Linked DNA regions of Arabidopsis thaliana. The protein of the gene in region 3 interacts with the protein of the main gene of each other region in a pairwise test. Each region holds a gene or a part of one and is shown on either strand. Other genes may lie near its edges. The genes, in order: RR12, AHP4, CRF2 and ARR7.

Evidence for each region.
Region 1: the proteins of CRF2 (region 3) and RR12 interact in a protein complementation assay, tested with the Arabidopsis thaliana proteins (one study listed by BioGRID).
Region 2: the proteins of CRF2 (region 3) and AHP4 interact in a protein complementation assay, tested with the Arabidopsis thaliana proteins (one study listed by BioGRID).
Region 4: the proteins of CRF2 (region 3) and ARR7 interact in a protein complementation assay, tested with the Arabidopsis thaliana proteins (one study listed by BioGRID).

The regions. Positions count from the first base shown.
Region 1 is NC_003071.7:10,723,297-10,730,422, forward strand, and holds RR12 (response regulator 12), read right to left. Parts: upstream 3,977-7,126; 5' UTR 3,666-3,976; coding exon 3,539-3,665; intron 3,259-3,538; coding exon 3,106-3,258; intron 2,978-3,105; coding exon 2,603-2,977; intron 2,514-2,602; coding exon 2,437-2,513; intron 2,341-2,436; coding exon 1,357-2,340; intron 1,269-1,356; coding exon 1,194-1,268; 3' UTR 1,005-1,193; downstream 1-1,004. Other genes in the region: PKL (chromatin remodeling factor CHD3 (PICKLE)), read left to right, coding at 1-27, 108-467. UniProt on the Arabidopsis thaliana protein: Transcriptional activator that binds specifically to the DNA sequence 5'-[AG]GATT-3'. Functions as a response regulator involved in His-to-Asp phosphorelay signal transduction system.
Region 2 is NC_003074.8:5,551,500-5,557,264, reverse strand, and holds AHP4 (HPT phosphotransmitter 4), read right to left. Parts: upstream 3,069-5,765; 5' UTR 2,915-3,068; coding exon 2,870-2,914; intron 2,792-2,869; exon of another isoform or gene 2,782-2,791; coding exon of another isoform or gene 2,755-2,781; coding exon 2,624-2,754; intron 2,551-2,623; coding exon 2,482-2,550; intron 2,248-2,481; coding exon 2,176-2,247; intron 1,983-2,175; coding exon 1,910-1,982; coding exon of another isoform or gene 1,898-1,909; exon of another isoform or gene 1,872-1,897; intron 1,795-1,871; coding exon 1,747-1,794; 3' UTR 1,476-1,746; downstream 1-1,475. Other genes in the region: AT3G16370 (GDSL-like Lipase/Acylhydrolase superfamily protein), read right to left, coding at 1-13, 94-337. UniProt on the Arabidopsis thaliana protein: Functions as a two-component phosphorelay mediator between cytokinin sensor histidine kinases and response regulators (B-type ARRs). Plays an important role in propagating cytokinin signal transduction through the multistep His-to-Asp phosphorelay.
Region 3 is NC_003075.7:12,373,444-12,379,620, reverse strand, and holds CRF2 (cytokinin response factor 2), read right to left. Parts: upstream 3,500-6,177; 5' UTR 2,871-3,499; coding exon 1,839-2,870; 3' UTR 1,589-1,838; downstream 1-1,588.
Region 4 is NC_003070.9:6,575,759-6,581,204, forward strand, and holds ARR7 (response regulator 7), read right to left. Parts: upstream 3,557-5,446; 5' UTR 3,321-3,556; coding exon 3,173-3,320; intron 3,043-3,172; coding exon 2,966-3,042; intron 2,747-2,965; coding exon 2,669-2,746; intron 2,576-2,668; coding exon 2,505-2,575; intron 2,408-2,504; coding exon 2,161-2,407; 3' UTR 2,075-2,160; downstream 1-2,074. Other genes in the region: AT1G19040 (NAC (No Apical Meristem) domain transcriptional regulator superfamily protein), read left to right, coding at 1,137-1,655. UniProt on the Arabidopsis thaliana protein: Functions as a response regulator involved in His-to-Asp phosphorelay signal transduction system. Phosphorylation of the Asp residue in the receiver domain activates the ability of the protein to promote the transcription of target genes.

The DNA.
Region 1 (7,126 bases), on a different chromosome or scaffold from region 3:
GTCGAAATAGCTCAACATTATAACCAGGTAAGCTATGCTTTTTTCCTTTGGTGGTAGGCTAATGTCTAGAACTAGTATATCACACTAATATCTCTCCGGTTATTCAGATGTGCAAACTTCTTGATGAGAACGCTCGGGAATCAGTCCAAGCATATGTAAACAACCAACCACCGAGTACCAAGGTGAATGAGAGCTTCCGTGCACTCAAATCTATCAATGGTAACATTAACACAATCCTTTCGATTACATCTGATCAATCCAAGTCACATGAAGACGACACCAAGCCAGACCTAAACAATGTTGAGATGAAGGACACGGCCGAAGAAACAAAACCGTTAAGAGGTGGCGTCGTCGATCTGAATGTGGTGGAGGGAGAGGAGAACATTGCTGAAGCTAGTGGAAGTGTTGATGTAAAAATGGAAGAAGCCAAAGAAGAAGAGAAGCCAAAGAACATGGTCGTTGATTGACTCAACTGGTAAATCAAGATTCAAGACCCAAGGGGTCATGAAGTAGGAACTGTTGTATTATCTTTGGTTACATGTATGAGACTTATTCTTCCTTTTGTAAGACCTATCTTCTGCTTATGCAAACATTGGTAACATTTTAGGCTAACTTTGATATTCTTCATGTTTTCCTATTTTTGGAAAATCATGAAATTATAGTTTCTCAATCAAAGCTGTTTGGTTATGCACCTCAAGCTTTTTAACAGTGTGTGAATAGGTTCGATGAAGTCCGGTTATGTTTCCGGTTAGACGTCGTCTGTTTCAATCTAACTACTATTCTCAATCAAACTCAAAAACTGAACTAAATAATGTAAGATACAAACACAAGAATGTTATAATACAAATTTGGGTTGACTTTAACATAATGGTTTCGAGTGTACGAAGGAATCTTTGTTGCTTTAAAATTCGTCATCATCACTTTTTCTTCATAGACTTTTTCTATAGGGTTGTTTCTTCATAGGCCCGTGAATTTTGGTTTCATACACAAAAGGGACAACTATACATTAAAATAAAAAAGTAAGAAAGTTTATTTATGAATCCTTTTTTCTTTGTTGTTTTCTTTAATGGAGTCCTAAATTGCTAGAACCAGTGGGAAAACAAATAGTTTACAATTTTAATACACAAAAGATTAGCGAGAAAAAGAGACAAACAAGATGATGATATTTGATTTATGTCTAAATGTTTGTTCTCTCATATGCATGTTCTGAGTGAACTAAACCCTCCATATCCCAAATCTCCTCCAGACAAATCTCCCTGGCTCTGTTCCTGTCACATTCACAAAATCTTCATGTCAGAAATCACAATAATCTCCAAATCAGAATGGTTAATATTGGCAAAAGCTTTAATGTCACACCTGCTTCATCGTGGAGTTGACTATATCATCTAAGGAACCAGCATCTGCAACCATGAATCCACCACTCTGTAACTTCTGTTGGCCTACGACGAACCCTTCTTTCGGGTTACTACTACTCAACAGAGCCATAGCATCCGTGGATGGACCATAAAAGACTCCAGGTTGCACATTTGTGTTTGAATCGAAGTCCGTGTTTCTACAGAAAGCTCGGGGATTTGTTGTATCCAAGGCTGGAGAACTCAATGTATTGGCAGAGTCACAGAATGGTATAGAGTAGCTTGATGACACATTGTTCCATTCCAAGGGGTCGGGTCTAGAATGCGGTAATGGAGAGACATCGAACTGATGATTGATACTATTACTGTTATGTGCCGGGGGAGGAGGGTGAGTCGAAGAGGATACAGCATTTGACCAATGCTCCAAACGTTTATTGATCTGGTGTCCTGGGAAGCCTGGAGGAGTTGCTTGTGGGTGACCTTCTAGAACCACGACATTGTTATTAGGAGCACTGATGAGCGAGTTTTGTTGCGTAGAGAAGCTAGGAAAAGCCATGGAGGTCCCAGCAATGCTCTTGTTACTGTTCATGTTTCTACTTTTGTTGTTGTTTGTCTGAAGCTGGTCGAACTCTAAAGGCATTGGCAACCCTTGAAGTATGTTTCCTCCATCACTGTGGTTAAGAGGAAGTGATGAGACATGGTGAAACTTTCCGATATCGGTCTGGTTTTGCAAGAACATTCCTGCAGGAGGAGAAGAAAGGCTGCGGACACCGATCCCCGAAGGAGTATTGAGTCTGCCAAGAATCCCGTTTGGAGGGAAAGATCTCATTGCAGGAGCCCCACCATGGTACTGACCAGATCCAACAGGGATTGGGCGGTGATGGAAACCATCAAGTCCATTCATTTGCATAAAATGTAACTCAGAGTTTGCCATAATAGCTTGCTGATTAGCCACACCACTGATCCTCTTCAAGTAAAGGCGGAATTTCTGCAAACCACAGCGAACAAAGTCATAAGCTTCCGAGGTGTTAAAAAACAAATCTTCGGGTTACGCAAGTTAAAAACATGAAAGATTCTTTGTAACCTGAAGATGACTGGCCACATTTTCTCTAGTGAGCTTCTCAACATTCATCAGATCCAAAATCTTTTTAGGCATAGCCTCTGCAATCAAAACAACACACACAAAACAGAACTTAAGTGACATACTGATAAGCTTACTCTCATATCAAGTGACATATTGATAAGCTTACTCTCATATCCCAATTGGTTAACAGCTGCAACAAATTTCTTATGCAGCTCAACAGTCCAAACAACACGTTGCTTCTTTTGAGCACACGAATCATCATTATCATCTCTATCCTCATCCTCATCTTCATTATACTGATCTTTACGTTTTCTATTACCTTTCCCATTGTTCTGATCAGAATTCCCAACACCTTCATTACCTGATCCATCTCTCTTATCACCATTATTATTACTCCCACGGTTCTTATCAAATCTACTTCTCACGACATGTTGCCATATGTTCTTCAACTCCTCAATACGAACCGGCTTCAGTAGATAATCACAAGCACCATGAGTAACTCCCTTCATCACATACTTTGGATCACTATGCGCAGACAACACTGCAACAACAAGAAAATCATCATCACAAAACCAAGTCTAGAGATCAAAACTTTATTCCTGTAGTGAGTCATTAAGGAAATAAATGACAAAAGTTTAATTAGAAAATAATAATAATAATAAGACTTACTTATGACAGGTAGGTCCATTTCAAGACCAACAAGCTCAAGGAGTTTGAAACCATCCATGTCAGGCATGTCAACATCACTAATAACCAGATCAAACTTGTTCTTGTTCTCTCTCAATAACTCTAAAGCCTTTTGTGCTTGGTTCGTCGTTGTTACTGCAACAGATTCCATAAAGTCTTAAACTTTTAATTCAATTCAACAATGAAACTTTCTCTCTGACAAATGTCAAATCTTACAAAATCTAACAATGGAATAAAAAAAGCTAAGTTTTTTTTAGATTTGTGTATACAAGAAGTTAGGTAGATAGATATCAAAAGATTCCACCATATGTGGATCAAATCACAGATCAAAGAGACATAAAATCTAAAAACTTGATGAAAAACAGATCCAAGAAAACAGAGAGAGAGAGAGAGAGAGAGAGAGAGAGAGAGGAACCATGGTATTGGCAGTGACGAAGGAGAGATTCAAGGATTTTGAGACAAGTTTGGTCATCATCAACAGCAAGAACTCTCATTCCTACAGGAAACTGATCCAAAGCTTCTAAATTTTGTTCAACAGTCATCGTTTTTCAACAGACCCAGAAACGAAAGATTGGATTTTTAATCTTTTTTGCAAGTTGAAGAAAGAGAGAAAGTGGGATGTGCAAGAACGTCGATGGAGAAATGAGTTAAAGATTAAATATGTGAATGGGGTCTAGAGAGAGAGAGTAGTAGTATATAATATTTAGATTTAGAGAGAGAGACAAAAAGATTTTTCCAGCAGAGTTAAAAAAAGGAATCTTCTTTAGCTCTTCTAGCTATCTATAAATGGCTATGGAAATTGTGTGTGATCATCTTCTTAACACTATCCACTCTTTTTCTGCAATTCTTTTTTTTTTCTTTACATTACAAAACAAATAACATTTTATTGAGAGACTTAGAAAGAATCTTTGAAACATAACCAATTTGGTTTAGTTTGGTTTGTTTTGTTTTGTATGGTTTCTTTTAAACCAAACGGAATAATAAACTCAATTATACGAAAATTCGTAATTTTTAAACGAAACTGAACCGAAATGACTAATATTTGTCTAGTGGTTTTTGTTAAAGTGGTGTTTTAATGTCATTATACCGAATCAAAATCCGCATATTGTACCGAGTTTAAACCGTTACAAATTGAAGTGAGTTGTTTGATTTTGGTGAGTAGTCCCTACACTTATATATAAGGATTTCCACCCTAAAAGAAACTTGTATCCCTATCCTCAGGTGATATATAATACACCATTTTTTTTAGGTTTATCAAAAATTATCATTTGTAGGACCAACCATATATTGTACACTGGTTTAGTGACTGAACCGGATTAGTATTATTGCCACTTCCTCTCTCTAGTCTAAAGACTTTAAAGTTTAAACTAATAAAACACACTACTTGTTTGCAATTAAATTGTGTTAAAAAGTAAAAACCAGGTAAAATAATACTTAGGTGTTATTTGAATGGGGGAAATTAAAAAGTAATTATGTTAGAGATAGGAAAGTGTTTAAGTAAAAAGATTTTGGTTTATACTATCATTTATATCGCATCATTATTGTGGAGATACATTTTGATTCTTGTTAATCTAGTATTGTCCAACTGTTAAACGGACAAAAAAAATTAAATTATTTCCATAATGTCAATCACTGTTAAATACTTTCCTTAGCATTTGTTTCAGATTTAAACCGATTTACTAAAACGATTTTTGTAAAATTTTGGGTTTTAAATATATTGTAGTCACAGAAAAAAAAATCAAAACACCTAATTCGATTATTTCTATCATTAATTTAAATTTCATTTCTTATTTTTTAACAGTGTTTATATTAATTTGTTTGGTTGGATATAAGATGATAAATGGTTTTATTCCAGGATTTTGTATTAATTTACGAACCCCAAGTAGTAGTGTTAAAACGGTCTTTCTTGTTGGAGAAGACCCTTCATTTTTTTTAGCACTTGTTTACCTTCGTGACTAATTTTTATGTAAGTGTGTTTCTTGAGAAAAGTGTTTTAACTTCACTTTATAACATATGTATCAGAGAATCTCGTAGCATTACATGTAACTTAACTTCGGCAAGTCTTGGTGTTAAACTTATTATTATCTTATATATAGATTAAGCCATTCTAGCTGGTTTCTAAGGAGATTTGTCCCAAACTCGAAAACGGACTAAACAATTTTGATAGATAAGACCACATCTATCTGATATCCAGTATTGCTTTGATCGCGTAATCGAGGTCTAGATGAGGTAGTAAGTAGTAACCCTCTTTCTCCTATAAGTTTTTAAGGTACTTCACGAGGTCTAAGATATGTCCATTCATGTAGATAATACATATCTGTTTACTGTTTTTCCCTTTTCTCCTTTCATGCACTGATGTACAAGCAAATGATAAAATTGACTTAGCAAATCAATTGTAGAAACCATAAAGTAGCCTATGTTTTTTGTACATACTCTTAAAATCGACTATATCATTATTCTTAGAAAAACGCTATCGAAATATATGATAACGTTAAGAAAAACGCTCTAAAATATATGGTACAAAAGATAGTAAACTGACAATTGCACTCGGACTCCACTGATATCCAAATCGTAACGGTATCTGGTATTCAAATTTTAGCATCCTTTTGATCTTTTTCCAAAAATATAAACACTATGTCTCTTAATTACATCTTGACTTTATTTTTCACTATAATTTGGCATAGAAATGATAGACTGTCGTGGATCATTTTTCCAGCTCGGCGTATAAGAAAACAATTTTTTTCTCATAATCGTCTTAGCTTTCGGCATGGTTGAAATTATTGAATTGATCGATATTAGAGATATCGTCCCACGTTGAAAGTTTAGTAGGAACTTAAGCAGTTATATATAAGATATAAGTCTCTTTACTCATTCCCGATTGATTTTGAGTTGGAAGCCCATAATCTAATATGGTATCAGTGTCCGATCTGCATATAGTCAACCCAATCCACATCGGTCCACTAATCTATGCCCAAACATATCAAGACTAATGGATAGAAAAGCCATCATTTAGAAGGATCGTATTAGAGATATTGTCACATATTAGAAGTTAGTATAATCTTAAGTAATATTTATAAGATATAACGTTCTTCACTCATTACCAATTAGTTTTGAGTTGGAAGCTTATATTTTGATAGAAGAATCCTTTGAATTTACTATTTTTGTGTTCTAATACTTCCGTGTCAACTGTTGTTGCGTAGGAAAACTTGCCTCTCAATGGATAAAGTAAGCTCAAAAGTTTTGTTATCGCCTTAAATTTGAATTTTATAAAATCACACCTTTGGAAATTAATATTACAAGACCATACTTTAATTACAAGTAATCAGATTGATTGGAGTATGGTTTCAAAAACTACTATGAATATTCGAAAAGTGTATCTTGTGAAACAGTTTTAAATAGCTTTCTAAAAAAAAAACTGTTTTAAATTAGTTGACAAAACAATATTTTGGATTTTAAAAATGAGACAGGCTTTAGAGAGAGCAAGCATGCTTGAGATTGGGAAGTGCGTTACACGCTTGAGCGTGCATCAAAACTCTTTCTTTCGTACAGTTGCAGATTAAAATCGGTTCTTAAAATTATTTAATATATGTGATAATTAAATTAAAATTCGTATGGTAAAATTAAAATCAACGACGATATTCGTTTCTTTGACCTTTTTTTTCTTTTGCCATCGATTTCTTTTCACTTAAAAGTTTTTCTAAAAGAAAGAAAAAAAAAAAAGAAATCTTGAACTTTAAGTTTTCTCTTGCAAATCAAAGTTAAGAAAACTCCACATGTGCAAGTGCAAGAACAGAAAATGGAGAATTTCGAACAACGTTCTCTTGCAACAGGTGTTTCAATATGCGGTTAAGTATAGTTTTTCAAGGCAAAGTATTGTTTTTCAAAATCACAATATCTGTTAATAGTGACATTTTAAAAAATTCCCGAATGATTCGCAAAAGGTGTAATCAATACACCATAATCTCGCTTGTGGCATGTTGCTAGATAGCTTATACAGATCTAT
Region 2 (5,765 bases), on a different chromosome or scaffold from region 3:
CCTAAAGTCTCAGCTGTAACAAAAACAAACACAAAGACTTCAGTGTCAAACAAACTTAAAAATATAACTTGAGTAACAAGTAAAACCTTTTACCAGTTATATCAGTGGCTAATTTGCCGTTGCAGAAACGACCGGTGGCTTTGTGGTTAGCGAAATCACGGCCATAAGGAGGATAATCAGCTCTGAAAAGGGTCGGAAGATAGTTGTTGTTGCCGACATCAACTACAGAGTCACCGAATGTCATGATTGCTGGAACAAGTTGAGCAAAGGAGATTTGGAGAATGGACAAGGTAGAGACCAATGTGAGAAGCAAAAACGACGACGTGCAACGATCCATGTTTTTGCTTTGGTATGTGACTATGTGTGAATGGTGAAGATTATATGTACTTTTGAGTTTTATATATACACATAGATAAAGAGGTTAGGAGTTTAGTTTACTTCAATGTTGTGTCAACTCTGAAACTCTATCTCTCTCTCTCTCTCTCTCTCTCTTATTCAATATTTCTCCAACCATTTTTGATTCGTGGAAAAAACTGAACCAGCCTGTGTTTTGCATAATTTGATATTATAGGTAAACTTTATTAAATAAATTTACCTTTCAATGGCGCACATGGATGCTATAAATAGGATCTGGTCTGTGTTTTTAAAGTAAGGAAGATGGAGGTTGTGAGATATAGCTAGGGCTAATAAATGAGAGTGGTTTCACGTCGCTTTGGATAATAATTAAACAATTAATTCTTTCATATGTAATATATATAAGAGATTAAAGAACATCTTATAGAGTATGTAAATATCTCCCTAATATTAGGCTGTTTTCTTTCGGAAGAGAAATTTATTGTTGTGATACTCTCCAGCTCTACGAATCAGCGTTACACTGCCTGTATGAGTGTATGTAGTGTAGACTTTACGTGGAAGAACTTGAAATAAATTTTAGTAAATGCTGGGCCATTGAAAGAAAACGTTTTACTTTATCCACAAACAAACATTTGATTTATTTATTTGCATTGGTGAGTTAGTTTTTTCATGAAATAGAAGGTCTATGTGATATTCTTAAACGACATCGTTTGAAAAATAGGGCATGTAAGAGAAATTAGATGGAAAAGTGTAATATTAATTGTTTATGATAATGTTATTATTTTAGACTTTTAGCTAAGAATAGTTTGCATCTAAGCCATGGCATTCTTTTTTTTTTAATAATTAGTTTTAGTAGAGACAAATAGTAACATAATGATAATGTTATTTTAGACTTTTACCTAAGAATATTTTGGTTTTTTTTTTCTTTTTTAAATATTTATTAATCAGTACTAGTAGAGACAAATATTAACATAATGATATAAAAATAGGTAAGAATATTTAGGATTTGGACACGGTTCCTGGAAACAAACCGAATAATGTAAAGCTTAGTTTCTTTTTTTTTTCCTTTTGTAAACAAGGTAATGCATTCATCATAGAATCGAAAAAATGCATTTTTTTGGTCCACTCTTTTCTGTATTCCGTTATTAGAGGAAGCCATATGTTACGAGGTAATCGTAGCTATAAAACTCCCAAGGGAAAATTTGGCGATATAAGGGGAAAAACATAGAGACATTTGGACCGTTTATTAACGGACATAATATAAAAGTCCAAAACCTTCTTTATAACGTACATCGAAATATATAAAAATAAAGAGGAACTATTTATTATATAGTTTTGCTACAAAATTCGACGACGATTCCTCATTTATCTCTGTCTCTCTCTCTTTCTCTCTTACTTGGGCCTACGTGCTGTCTCCTTAGGCCCCGCCTGCCTTGCCAACTGTTCATTACAAAAAATTTCACTTCAGCAAATACTATATCAAAAGTGATTGATGATAACTTCTAATCACATTCTAATTATGTAAATTATTAAGCATAATTGATTATTGGCTCGCCTGGAAATAATGTTCAAGCTTCTTTCTCAACGTTGAGTGTTCTTTCTTCAGTTGCTGGAAAGTCCTCAAGCATCTGCAAGTAAGAAAAAGCGAAGAAAACTAATTAGGGGGTCGAAAATGAAGTAAAGTAAAAGTTCAAGGTTCAGCGGATTAATTGCAGCAATTTTAGCCATCTAAACTATACTTATTTTCATTTTGACCCCGTTACTTAGTTTTCTGTTAAAAACGAGAAGCATGAAGGTATATAAGTATAAAGACGAAAGTACCCTTCCGCATTTCCAGCTCTGCAGTATTCCCTAAACGTAGTGCATTCAGCTTTCACTTTACTTGCCCCAATGCTACAAAAAAAAGAAATGCAACATTTGTCAGTATAACTAACGATCATAAAATCTAATTATTTCTGGTTAAAGTAGATTCTGTCATTGAATCCTGAATGAGAATGGAAGTAATTTTAATGTACTTTTGCGTTACATTCTTTTATCTTATAAACATTTAAGTATTCGCATTTCTTTAAGTAAAATTATTTCTTGAAGGCGTAATTAGAATAGTCAAAAACTAAGGGGGGAAATTACCTCGTGCTGCTTCCCTTAAACTGATGCATGTAACTATCCAGCCGATTGAAATCAAATGATCCTCTTTCCCTGCATTGTAAAAATGATTAGAAAACTGAAAAAAAAAAAATATATATATAATAGAAAACAAAATAATACTCACAAAGCTTGGTCAATGTTATTGATTAACCGAGCTGAATCTTTGAAGTATAATGCGGAAACTTCTTCAACAAAATTAGGGTTTGCATCATCTTGGAGCTCTTCTAACTCCATGAATTGTTCGTCGAGATATCCCTGCATGCATTTTCCTATATTAGTCATTTTCTAAATTATATGAAGAAATTCATATATAAGTGGTACGACGTACGAAGTTATATTACGAAAATACGAAGAAACAAACGACCAAAACCTGATCAAAGAGGGACTGCTTGATGAGTGCCACTTGCCTCTGCATGTTTGTTTAAATTTTGAGAATAGATTTAACTATAAGTGCGAAAAATCAAAGTGATAATTCGTTTTTATCTTAGGTAATTCGAGTGGCAATGCAATACTGAAACGTTGGACATCTGAGATATATATAGTGAAATATAGAATAAATAAATAGATCGTATTACATCAAAAAAGAGAAAGTAGAAAAGAGAAGAGAATATTTGTAAAATGATGGGAACCTGCAACGTAAGGGCATGAATGCTGTATTCTACTCCAGACATAAAAAGAAAACGTGTATTCGTTATTATCAGCTTATTTCGATGACACATAGATGTATACTCAGTATAATTTTCTATAACTTCTCTATAAAATATATGTATAACACAAATGGTAGGTGTTATCAAATGATCATATATGTGTGTTGATATATAAGTTTGAATGTATAGTAATCTTTTATATATATAAGATAGTGTTTATGTTAAAGTTTTGAATAAGAGATTTCAATTAGAGAATTCCTCAATGTTGATTGTTTAATTAATAGTATGGTCCATTATGAAACTTAAACTACTGTGGATGATTGATCTATTGCCCAAAAATATAACTGAAATGCATCTTAATTAATAAGTAATCAAAGGATCTCACGAATGGGAATACGACTAATATTATATATATACGTACATCATAGAAACATGTAAAATTTCGAATATAGAACCTAAAAGCTAAACGTTGATACTATACGAAACACACCTTTGGAAATGAGGCAAATATATACTAGTAAAATGTATGTGGACACGAATTTTCCTGAAAGTGAAAAAGAAAGTTATAGATTGAAAAAGTATACAGTTCAAGAAAAATATTCTGAACAGACCATTTCCGTCTTGATTAATTACTGAATTTAATTCATGTTTTCACAAAGTTTTCTATAATATCATTGTCTTTTCTTTTTTCTTTTTTTTTTTGTTATTTTTAAGGTTGTGATTTCCTGATTTTAATGGTACCAATTACGTACACCCACAACATTCAACTATATATGTACATATGAATTTACGAAATGGGCAAAAAAAAGTTGTACTTTTGGAAGAAAAAATTGTTGGAATCTAGCACACTAGCAAACACTATTATTGCTTATCTTTTGTTTCAACAACAGAAAGCAATACTAATTCGAAGTATTTTAGTTTGGGGTCCGGAATTCAATTACTAAGTAAGGATTATATCTTGTGATAAACATTAAACGACATTTTTATATTAAAAACATAGTCAAGGTTAGTATCATGATCAAGACCAGAAATAAATAGATTTCTATTGGGGTTTTCTGTTTGATGTGTTTTCTTTCTCTTTGACCGCTGCAACAAACATTGAAAAATTAGATGCAAATCTTTTCCAAGTTTCTTCCATTAATGTGTGGAGGTGAGAGGGTGTTGTGTGCCAAGGAAAGGCTAGTACTTGTGCGGATGCGTGTGTTTCCTACTTCTATATTGTAACAAAAAAAGAAAGAAGTAGGAAACCAAAAAGAGAGAGAGAGAGAATAAGGTATACATATATCCAACGAGTAAAAAATAAACCATAAATTTCTGTTATTGGAAACAAGGAACAAGTATCTAAAAAGGAAAAACTGAAGAGCACATAACAAGTGTGATCTAAATGATTGACACAAAGACATAAAAGATCTTTTTATCATTACAGCATAATTTGTTCCTTTCTATATCTCTTTCTCTCTCAGACAAGCATCGTGAGATCGAATTACAGAAGAGAGAGAGATTGATCATATACAAAAAAAAATCAGCTTTATTTATTCCTCCGCCCACCAAACCAATCTCACATAAAGGACTTGTCTACTACATATTTTCGGTGGAAGTGGGTTTAGAATCTAAGTTTTATTATTGCTTGCTGTCTCATCTCGATTATTCTCCTTAATTCCGACCTCCCCTCTAATAACAAATATGTAATACCACAAAATTAGAAGAAACAAAACAATTCATTCCAAAACTTGTGAGGTTGGTTTTACATGATAAACCCCAATTTTGTATTTAAATCAAATGTTATTATGTTTACCTTTTAGTATTATACAAGATAAAATTCTAATAAAAGAGGACAAAATTCATGACATTTATCTAAATTTTGTTGTATATGTGTTACACAATCCAATTATTCCTTTATATATATATGTGATCTTAATTTTATAAAAGAAAATTATTTTTTGTTCTTATGATCTTTTGTATATTTCTAAGCTTTAAGGCTATATATAGTCTTAACTCTTAATTATTATGAACTCGTAACTATCATCTCTGCCTCTGGTACAAATGACTAATTAATTCGAAGGGAGAAAATATGTAGAGATTTAGTTTTCATATATTATTAGGAAATTGCTAGACTATAGGCTAGTTTGTAATATAACTTATATTCATATTCAAGACAAAATCAGTCTTGTAATACTTTAGAAGGCTAGCTTGTTCCACTATTAATTCCTATGATTGGAAGATTAATACATGTTTAGAGAAAGTTTATTTTTAAATGATAGATATTCTTCGGAAAGTTATCTTGAGATTTTTTGTTGGATATACATGATGCCAGAATTTGTGCTACTAAAGTTATTAGAAGTAGCTATTAGCACCTAATTGAACTAAGTATTTCGTATAAAGGGCACAATGTTGACTGGTTCGTGATTGAAGATGACTCCTTAAAAGTTCAAATGTCGACACACAAACAGATTTTTAATTCTTTTAATTGTGTTGATTACTCAATTAAAAACATTCTTCTCAACTATTAATATAAATTCAATAATATCCAATTATTTGAAAGATGTAACTTCAATCATCTATCACCCGTTAAATAAAGTATATGCTAAACAAATTTATTTTTATCCTCTATCACTTTCG
Region 3 (6,177 bases):
TATTATAATCAGCAAGTTGCATGGGTAATTTTTGAGATTGTCGGAAATATTTAATTTCTCATGAAATTAAGTTCACGTTTTATATAGAACCAAAAAAAAAAGGCCTGAGAAATGTAGTAGCCTCTGAACCAACCTTACGGGCAGAGAAAAAGATAGTACAGTAGTATTTAACGAAAGCGACACGACAATGCTCTTTCTCGAGTAGTTGCGGCTCTAGCCTACGTGTCGTCAGCTCTTTTCCCTGCATCTCCTCTGTATTTTCAATCTTTTTAATGTTATTTTTTATTTTTATTTTATCAATTACATCGGTTATTGCTTTTGAGTTTTCTCAGAAATGGCGATTAAAATTGTTTACGTAGAGTTTTAAAATAATAATTAAAAAAAAAAAAAAAATACACGAAAGGTTTATCAAACAACACACTCTCTAAGTCTCTATGAAAGTTTTTTTTGTAACGTGGTATAAATTTCGGATTGAAAACAAAGTGGTATTTAGGAAAAATAGTAAACCATTGGAATAGAGCCACAAGATAGAAACGATTACCATCCATCTAGGTCGAACACTGCTTGCTTCGTGAGACAATAACCTTAGCTTCTCACAAGGTTATAAATTTTAGAGATATTTTTGAGATAACTAATTGAAAAAAACAAATAAGCAAACCAAGCAGCAATGCATGAAAGAAAGTAAATCATCTCAACAATTCTTCGAGAATCACACCTTAAAGGTACTGATCATACAAGCTCTATCAACCCTTAAATAAGACCATGGTGTGGTGGACCAAAATCATGCAAAAGCAAGCTGGCCCGAGCCTGAACAGAGATATTGACATAGACAGGTAGTAACATTTTGCAATTGATGGTTCACTTGGTATCCGCTGGCCAAAATCAATCAAGAACCAGATCGAACCAAACCAAGGCATGGACCAGCTTGACCCATCGTAACATCCCTATTCCTAAATAACAATGAAACAATAAAAGGACAAAAAACAATTATGAACATACTCTAATTATTCAGGACGATTAGATTTACACAATATGGCTTAGTATAAAACCATAAAACTAAAGTTGATTTATGCGTGCATAACAATACAACCATAGTTACATCGTACTATTATAGAAACTGTTAAAACAGAGTGAGATTCAAGTGCTCTAGACAATCAACTACCCCAACTGCTTCTTTCATTTAATCCTCATGAGATTTTTATATTTTACTCATTTTCTTCTGAATTTTTGTATAAACTGCCAAAATATAGTTTTATGATGTGCCATATTTCAAATCAACTTAGATTCTCCTTCTTCGTATCTAGTCTCAATCTACCTGGCATATCACACTATTTTTATTTCAAGAAACTAGTTTTTGGACTTTGGATTATTAGCTTGTAATCGTGTAACAATAAATTATTATTAGCCTTTCGAAAATGATATGATTAGCCTTAAGAAAACAAAAACTAGATGCAAAAGCTTTTCAATTGTTCTCATCACGTGAGATCACACGTGCCTCTACCAACAACAACAACATAAAAACGAATTTTTATATCAAATAAAGGAATTTTTCAGTCGACCAAAATTTTTAAAAAGAGATAAAGAGAGCAGAGCACGTGGAAGCAAAAAGAAACTCGACCTCCCATTATCGTTAACAGACGAAAATTATTTTTCAAAACTTAAAACGTTAATAATTATCACCATTAACTTACATTAATTCAGTTTCATTCATATTTTTATATATAACAAAGAAAAAAAGATTACGAACATAACCGAGATTTTATGTCACCGGTATACAAAACTTTCTCCGGTTCCGTTTAGTAACGGCCGGTATAACTATTTATTTATTTAAAATATTATTAAACAGCTAAAAGAGGATCCGACCCGAATAGATCCCCGATATCTTGAAAATGGTCCTCCATGTGCCAGCTGGATAATCCGGATCCGAAATCGAATCCGAAGTTCATATCCGTACACATATCCGCCGTGAATAGATCTTCCCCAAATAAATCGCCGCCGAGATAGTCGGGAACCACTGAGCTCCGGAAATCGAACACGTCATCATCTGAGAACAAGGGCGCCGAGAAATCAGAGAAAGTTTCAGATACCGTTGTCATGGATGGCTCTTCCTTGACTACAACGGCCGCGACTGGTGATGAAGAAATGCCGGAGAATTCGTCGACGGCGAAAGGAGATCGGAGAACAGACACCGGAGAGCAGAGACAATCGTTGCTGCTGCTTCTGCTGATGGAGGAAGAAGCAGTAACGGATTTTTTGCTTTTGTTGTTTTTCTTCTTCTTCTTCTTCACCGGAGACGGTGGTGGGGCTTTCTTCTCCGTCGCTGTTGTCGGAGTGACTGAGAAATTAGTCAGAGCGTCGGGACCACGAAGCTGAATAGCGGCGTTATCGTAAACCATAGCAGCTTCTTCCGCCGTGTTGTAAGTACCTAACCAGAGCCGTACACGTTTCAACGGATCTCTTATCTCCGCCGCCCATTTTCCCCATGGACGCTGTCTCACTCCTCGGAACTTCTTCTCTCCCGTCGTAGTCGTCGTCGCTGAAACAACCGGAGAAACAGTAGACTCCGATTTAACCGCTCTCTTTTGTCTCTTCTTCGACTCCATTTGACCACAACTACCAGTAACAACAGCACCGGAATCGAGATAGACTTCGTTGACAAACTTCTTAACACGACGGCGTTTAGAGACAAAGCGTTGATGTTCTTCTTCTTCGTCGTCACTGGAGGAATCAGTAGCGTCTGGGTCAGTGACTGAGATACGAAGAATCCTGGTTTGGTGAGTGTTGGTTAACTCCGATACGATTGTTGTCGTGTTGGTTTTGTGCTCTGTGAATTTGATTCTCGGTAGAACCATTTTCTTCTCCGCTTCCATTTTTCTTTCGTATTCTCTGTTTTTGACTCGAGACTGTGACTTTGTTTCTCTCTGTGTGTTTATAACATAGAGATTAGGGAAAGCAAAAAGGAAAGAAGACAAAGAATAAAGATGGATTTTTTATTAAAGAGAGAAACTTGAACAACAAGAGTGATACTCTTCTTCTTCTCTAGGTGGAAAAAGTTTTCTTAAAGGACGCGAATTTTTTTTTTATAGAAAGAACAAAAGGCACGAAAAACACTGCGAGAGCCGAGAGAGAAACCTTGCTGCGTGAAGATTTTTCCCGGAAAGTTGAAGAAAGGAGAAAAGGGCTTTTGGTTATATTCTTAAGGAATCGTTCACAAACGAGAGAGAGATAAGAAGAGGAAAGGAGAAATAGAAAAAGAGGAAGATGCTACTTTTGGAGGAGGAAGGGGTTAAAGCTTTGCTTGGGTTTTTCTAGGAAATATTCCTGGAAAGAAAAAAAATTTGGGCAGAGGAGAGACAAGAAAATGTTTTTGCAGAGTGTGAGAGAAAGAGTGACACGAGGAAGAAGATGAGAGATTTAAAAGCGGCAGAGCACATGTAATGGTAGAGAGTGACTATTTTATAGGATCTTTGAAACGTCTCATATTATTAGTGTTTACTCCTTTCTTTCTTTTTTGGTATTTAATTTAATTTTCGAATATCTTATAAAAAAAACTTTTGACAAAGATATTTCTTTCTGTTTAAGGGAGGTGGACAAGATTCATTTGTATCTAAATTCTTTTTTATTTGCTAAACACTTTGAGTTTAGTGTTTTATATATATGTACAAGAATATGAAAGACATTTCATAATTAGTGTTAAGAGATTTTTAACTTTTCATTGGTGATGTCAAATGATGAAATGAATGAAAGACAATTGTCAAAACTATGCTTGTTACAGTCCAAATGTACACTTAATTGAAATTGAAATTTAGAGACAAAACTAGATAAAAAACAAAAACTAAGAACTACAACAAGTGTCGACAGTAATTATTGTAACGCAAATAAGAATCATGACATTAATGGTCGATAATTAGATATTAGTGCCGACCAAGGAAATTTGTCTTTTTAAAATTAGAATGAAATCTTAATTTTTGACTGATTTTTAGCAAAAACTAATTATAGCCGGAAAAAACGAGCTTGGCAAAACCAAAATGCCGCATAAGTCAAACGATTGAGATATCGACACGTGTAATTACAGAATTGGGTCCAATCCAACGGCTGGGACGTGCCTTTCCATGGGGCAGCTGACAAAGAGAAAAACATATGTATTACTAATACTAATTACTTCTATAATCATTTTTTAAAATTTCCTCGTAATTGGAGATTCAGGTCACGTGACACCGGAGACACGGTCCAGTCTTACTTTTGACCAGAACCAATAATTTATAATTAACAGCAGGTGATTAATCTCATAACCTCCGTGCGAAGTTCTCTTTTTCACCACAGGGATAGTATCGTACTTTCACCTAAGCAAGTTGCGTTGTGAAAAAGAAGAAAGACAAGAGACCGTTACGGCTCGTAGTTCTTTACTGTTTTAACCTTTACCAGTCATAACCTTGCCACTTTTTAGTTATTACAGCTGGTGCTGGCTAACGTGGCAGACAACAATCTAGGACGTTGCGCCACACACACACATTAAAAAAAAGTACAGTAATTTTTTTTGGAATCATTGTATTACTACTTCTTAATTATGATTAGGAGTACTTGATAATTTTCTGTTATTTGCTTGCAGATTTTATGTGACTATAAAATGTATAATAACAGAGTGACTTTAATTTACTGACAATTTTTAAAGACAAGCATATTTGGCATTTCTAATTAATTAGAGAATAAAAATTTACTTTCTCTATTAAGTTAAAAATCTTTAAAAGTGTTAAACACTTTGACCAATGGTCAACTATGCAGCATCTACTTTCCTATGTAACGTATGGTTGAGTTAAGTTTCCTAATCATGATTGAAATGTTTTTGATTTTGACACGATCGGGTAACACTTTGTATTTCGTACAACTAGTTTTCATATATATTGAATTATTATTTTTGAGTTTTGATTACAGAAATGTTTAAAAACGTACTGATATAATAATATAATTTGCATAGAGAAGATATTGGAAGCCCATGCTACATTACCAAAGAACGAAACAATCTGATCGCAGGGTATGTGAACCATGTACCCGTTTGTTATGTCTTGTCTTTCCCTTCATTTTTTATTTGCTTCCTTTATGCTATGCAGTTTTTGTCCAACTTCTTTACTCTGCAATGTACGCACTAGTTTAAGCGTACTCGTTTAACATGTAACACTCTACCTGCGTTTTGTAAAATTATTTTCACATGAATATTTAGTGTAGATTTGCAGTGAATATCATCTAACAAACTCTCGACCATGTACTGATGTACATATATATAGTATCACTAATTTCGAATCTTTGAATAATACATGCATAACAAACAACTATAGTATAATACTATAATTCATCATGTATTATGTATATGTTATATTCCGGACAACATTGATGTATAGATTTTAGATTTAAGTTGATAAATATATATAGTTGTAATAAATGTGGTATAAAATTTCTCAGACAATAGAGCTGAGTGAAAAATGTGAAATAGATTATTCTAAATCACTACAGTATAATTAAGCATCAAACCCTAGATGAGCAAAATTTACTTCGAGCCACGTAATTCAGGAATCCCATAACATTATTTTCATATGTCTCATTTCGAAACAAATAAAATTTCGTTTCCGGAAATAAATCAGTATAATAATAGGCACTAATTATTAAGATAATGAAAAATTTGTTGGTCCACGAAATAATAATCATTACACAATCATTAATCATCAGTTCTTGAGACAACGATAAGTTCATAGAAACTCGATATATTTCACAATGTAAATTTTACGTGATAATCGAAACTTTTATTTTTTTTTCACTGGATCGCAAGAGAAATGTGTGGGTTAGACCACGCCGCTTAGGATTATCATTTTCATATAACGAAATAATTAAACCTGCCGTATATTCAAAACCGAAACATCATTTATTTTATTTTTGTAGGAAAACTGTTTAAATATCATCACGTATAATGGAAACATATATGAAGTGTTAGATATTATTTTTTGTGGGTCAAATTAAGTTTTAAATTCTTTCTACTAATTTTAGGTGAATTTATGATATTTTTCTCTTTTTCAAAACTAAAATAATTCCCAACTCTCTTTCTTGTTTACAGTATGTTTGGTTAGATTATTAATTATAGCATACTATGTTTATTGGTTGTGAGTCTTGTCTCTTCTGCCATGTTAG
Region 4 (5,446 bases), on a different chromosome or scaffold from region 3:
GAAGCTAATCGGGGAAAAGGAAAATCTTTTAAATTATATATTTTTATTAAAAAATCATCTTCAGTAAAAAAACAATAAAAGGTTTCTATGGAGGAGACATTTTTGAAAAATAGTATTAAAAAGATGCATTTTTTTTTTAAAAAGTCTTCCTTCAATGTGTGTTTTCAAAATAAATCCAAATATGTATTACATAGTCTTTGAAATACCTAGGAGTCCGATGATGAGAAAATACATATCCTAGAAATATATATAATTTCGGAAATAAAAGTCTTAAATATGATATACAGTCCTTTTAATTTAACAATTGTGAAGATGTTTAAAAAATTATAATTTTGAATAAAATACAAATGATAGTATTAGTGAAGTCGGCGAAGGGGGATTTATCTTTAAACACATTGTAATTGTTATTGTTGCGTATCCGTTGGCAGCAAGAAACAGAAACACAGAGTGAGTCCAAGATCGCTTTAGAGGAACGCTTGAAGAAACCACTGAACATTGATATTAATTATCAAATATTCGAGTTTCTTCTTCCTGCATTCAAAATTCGTCACCAAGATTGCAATTTTCTTATCATCTTCGAGCGTTCATCTCTGTTAGATTATCACGGTTTGTTTGAAGTCTGTTCTCTCGTGGAAGAAATTGTCGATCTCTCTGTTATCCAACTCTTTGTCGCGTTTCTTTCAGAATTTCTATATCTGTTGGGTCTCTGTTCTCTACTAGAAGAAATCGTCGATCATTGATTCAGGTAAGTTCTCGTTCTTTGTTATCCAAGTTTCTGCTTCAAGCATTCATCACCAAGATTCCAATTCGTTATTGGGGTTCTTGCAGAAACTTCTTCGAACATTCATATCTGTTAAGTTTTCACGTCGTTGGGTCTCTCTGTTAATCTGCTAGAAGAAATCTTCGATCATTGATTCATGTAAGTTCTCGTTCTCTCATAATCAAGTTTCTTCTTCTTCAGCATATATTCGTCTCTGTTACACTTTCACACCGTTTCTACTGCTAGAAGAAATCATATTCATTACCATGATTCCAATTCTTTTACTGGGTTTTCTTTTAGAATAATAGATCACTGTTTGTTTTTAGAGATCGAGTTTGATGAATTTGGTTTCTCGTTTCTTGGATCAGAAGCAAAAATGTCAGAGGTGTTAACACGCGGGTTTCGATTTCGCCCAGCTGATGAAGAAGTGACAGACTACCTTATGCGGAAGACACAATCGCCGGAGTTCAGCTGCTTTATCAAAACCATAGACTTGTACGACAAGGATCCGTGGGTACTTGGGCATGTGAGAGATCCGTGTTACAATCACTATGAATGGTATTACTTTGTTAAGAAAAACCCCCTCGGGAATGAGTACTTAGATAAGCCTAGATTGAACGGGTTTGAACATCCACGCTTGAAATGGGATGTGTTGAAGCAGATACATGATGCTCTGAGTTCTGGTCAGAACGTCCCACCAAGTGTCTTTACTTACGGATTCCGATTTCATCCGACTGATCAAGAGCTACTCTCTTTGTACCTCACTCCAAAGGCCCATTCACCAGACTTCAGCTGCTTCATAAGAGAGAGAGAGAGCTATATGCCATGGAGCCATGGCTTCTTGAACATGTTAGATCTCCTTTTTACAAGGACAGTGAATGGTACTACTTTGTGAGAAAGTGTTCGTCTCGTCGTGAAAAGCTGAATTTGATGTTCTACCTCAGGGGCAAGAAGAAAACATGGAGGGTCAATGGTGTTGTTACACAAATCATAGATAATGACATAGAGAAAAATGTTCTGGGAACTAAAACAAGATATTCTTTCAATCTCGATGTGGGGCGTGTCCACTCAATGACCGGGTGGAAAGTAGAAGAATTCCAATTGTCTTCGGATCCTGTTTGGGCGGTTTGCAGACTCACTTACCTGAAAAACGATTCCTGCGTGATTGATGATAGACCAATACTTCCGGGAGAAGAGCATCCTAAGCTTGAGTTGCAAGCATTGAAGAATTTACATGAGGTGTAAGTCAGTGTGAACCTAACATTTGATTCTTTTCTCTTTTTTGTTTTGTTTTGTTTAAGCAACATCATGAGTAGTGTGATGACTCTCTCAAACATTGTCTTTCTTGAGGAATATTAACAGAATGGTTTTGCTAAGGTCTTGGCCTCTATACATATAATTCAAAGTAGAGAAAAAAGGTTTTCAGATTCTGATTTCATTCGTTTTGAACATGAAGAGTCCTTGATAGAAGTATCATCATGACTTGATGATGATGTATCACTGTCTTCTTGAAGCTTTCTCTTGTTAGAATGGCTTAAGATTTTGCATTCCTCAGCTTCATTCCTCATTATAAGTTGTTTGATTCGCTTTACATCTGCTAGCTTCACCGGTTTCAACAAGAATTCCTCTGCTCCTTCTTTGAGACATCTAAAAACAAGAAGAAGAAGTCGATAAGTTTAGATCACAGTGTAGACACAAATATGATCCCATCTGTATCACTACACATTACACAATCAGTACTTACTCTTGTATACGAGGTAAGATGTTCTCAGATGACATAATCACTACTGGTACTTCTCTGAATGCTGAAGATTCCTGCACATATCAATGGAGTTTTGTATAAGCAGCATTAAAAAAGCTTTGTTTAAGTCTTTCTCAGATTGGTAAATCCATTATTATTGTTATTACCTTAATCTTTTTAAGGAGATCATATCCTGAAAGTCCTGGCATTGAGTAATCCGTCACTATCAAATTCACCTTCAAATCCTGTTATGATGAAAATCACAAACAAAATCAAATCTTAATACCAAAACACATAAATCACTAACTAGACTAGTTCATTTCTAAATCTCATTTGATCATAAAGACAAGAAGAAGCAATAGCCAAAGCCAAAGTTGCAAAGGTTTCACTCCTTCGGTCTTTCCTAAATATACAAGAGTTCTTCTCAGTAGATAGCAAAAGAGGGAAGATTTATTCTTAATTACCTTAAGATTAGAAGCCCCTTTGCCTCCATCTAAGCCAAGATACTGCAAAGCCCTAGTTCCACTCTCTACAGTCGTCACTGAAATAACAAAAAAAAAAAGACACTTGTAACTAAAAAACAGAGGAGAGTTTGTTAATGAAGAAGAAAAACAGAGGAGAGTTAAAACCAACAAAAACAGAGCAGAAAAAGATTGGTTTTGAGTTTTTACCTTTACAAGAAGAGATTCTAAGCAACCTCTCGATGACTTTACGATCCACAATACTATCATCGACGGCAAGAACATGCAACTCCGGAGTAGTAACAGTCAAATCTCCACCGGCGGGAATCTCCATCCTCATGACCTCACCAACCGCCATTGTCAAACTCAGAATAAAAAAGAGAGCAGATTGGTTCCAAGAAGAGGAAAGCTTTGGATTGAAGACAAAGGAAATGAATGTGATAAAATGAAAGAAGAAGAAGTTAGGTTAGGTGACATAAATAAGAAGGGAGAGGTGGTGGGGTTTAATAAGTACTAGTATAGTAGATAGAGAGAGATTTGGAAGATCGGATCTTGCGGGGTAAGATCTTTGAAGAGGAAACAAAATCTTAAAAATGGGTCAAGTGTTGATGTTATGTGTTTGGGAAGTGTCAGAAAACACAAATAATCAAATGTGTCTTCAAAGGTCAAAATCTTTGGGCACCGAATCTTTTTTAAGATTTCAAAGATCTTTGTTTGGTCTGTTTCTTTCAATCCGACAGCGACTACTCCCTCGTGACCTGGAACTTTCCTTCTGCTTTTAGTAATTTTATTTTAGTTTTACCTCTCTCTCTCTTCTTTTTTCTTTTTCTTTGCCAAGTCGGCTACTACTTTGCATTTTACTTACATATCAATCAATGATCTAAAACCGGTGGTTATTGCTCAATTAATCTACTTCTATATTCATTTTAACTTCAACATTGTATTTTGTATTTTCCTATACACGTGATTCGTTTATACTCTACTAAATTTTATTTATGTGTAATGGTATGATGGTGATACTAATACAATTTAATCCTCTTGTTGTCTTTTTTTTTTTCTTTTTTAATTTGGGTAAGAAGTATTTTACAAGGTTATCTTAATTTAATTTTCTTTACGTCAGTAAGGGTTATTATTTTATTTAAAGACAAAAGGGACATTTTTTATTTTTTATTGTCATCGTTTTCAGTTGAGTTTCCTTTATTAAATTGATTGAATTTTGTATGCAATAAAGGCACTCTGTTTAGTGGACCATTGTGTGTGATTTGTGAGTCTCTTTTGCTTTTGGACAAAATCTTGAGAGAAAAATATGGACAAAGTATTGCGGGTGGATCCTTTTGTCTCAATCATAACATCTTCTAAACGAATTGCAAGAGGACTAAGGCAATAGTACATGTTATTTGGTTTCAAATCAATTAAAAAACGTATATTATACGATCCCTAAATAAGTGTCAAACATGAAATTCCTAAATTAAATTGGAGAAATAATACCAGGACAACAGCCATATCATATAAGGATCTCTTTGCAGATTTAAAAGGTTTTTTTTTTTATTTTGCAACAAAAGGGAATAGTTTTGTCATCATTTCATTTAAGTTGTTTAGTGATTTTTTTTAGTTGACCATCATTGTGTGATTTTGTGAGTCCTTTTTGGACAAAATCTGGAGAGAGTAAAATCTTCAAAAGTTGTGGAGGAGGATCCTTTATAGTTTGTAACATCTTTTAGCCGATTGTGAGAGGACATTGACAAAAACATTTTGTAAAGAAAACTGGTTTCTTAGCATTAATTTAGAATCTAGCAAACTTTTTGTAACGATTTGATAGATATCTACAAATATCAATGTTGAGATCTACAAGAATCTAGCAAAAACATGATGGTCTTCACACCTAACACTTACGAAAAACATTATTTTGAAAAAAAAAAAAAGAGTCAGTCATTTGAAGAGAAAATTATTACAATGTTGATCCACATGTCTAAACATTTGATGATCGTGCCAAACAAAACATTGGTGATAAGAACATTACTGAAAGGAAAAGGAAAAAACCATCAATATGTTTCACATTTTCTTATTTTCATTGCAATTTATATATGGAACAAACTTGCTTTCAAATGTTTTTTTCCACCTAGATTTTAATGTCTTATGTTTCAAGTTATCAAGATCTTTGCATACATTTTGAATAATAAAATAAACAAATCAAGAGACAGTCATCCATTTGCTCCGTACCTAAGATTTATGAAAAGAAAATCCTAAATCCAATTTAAAAAAACGAACCACAACCACCAAAGTCTTTCATGTATTCAGTTATTTTTTAGAAGTCAATAATTTGATTTTAAACATAAACGAACAGTTCCTGAATAATAGAAACGGACTATTGATGATATAGTCACGATAGCTACAAGAGGAGAAAAAACACTATAGTCATAACAACGCTAAAATATATATAAAAGTGTTCTCCGTTTGTTGGTTTCGTAATAAATAATGCTTCAT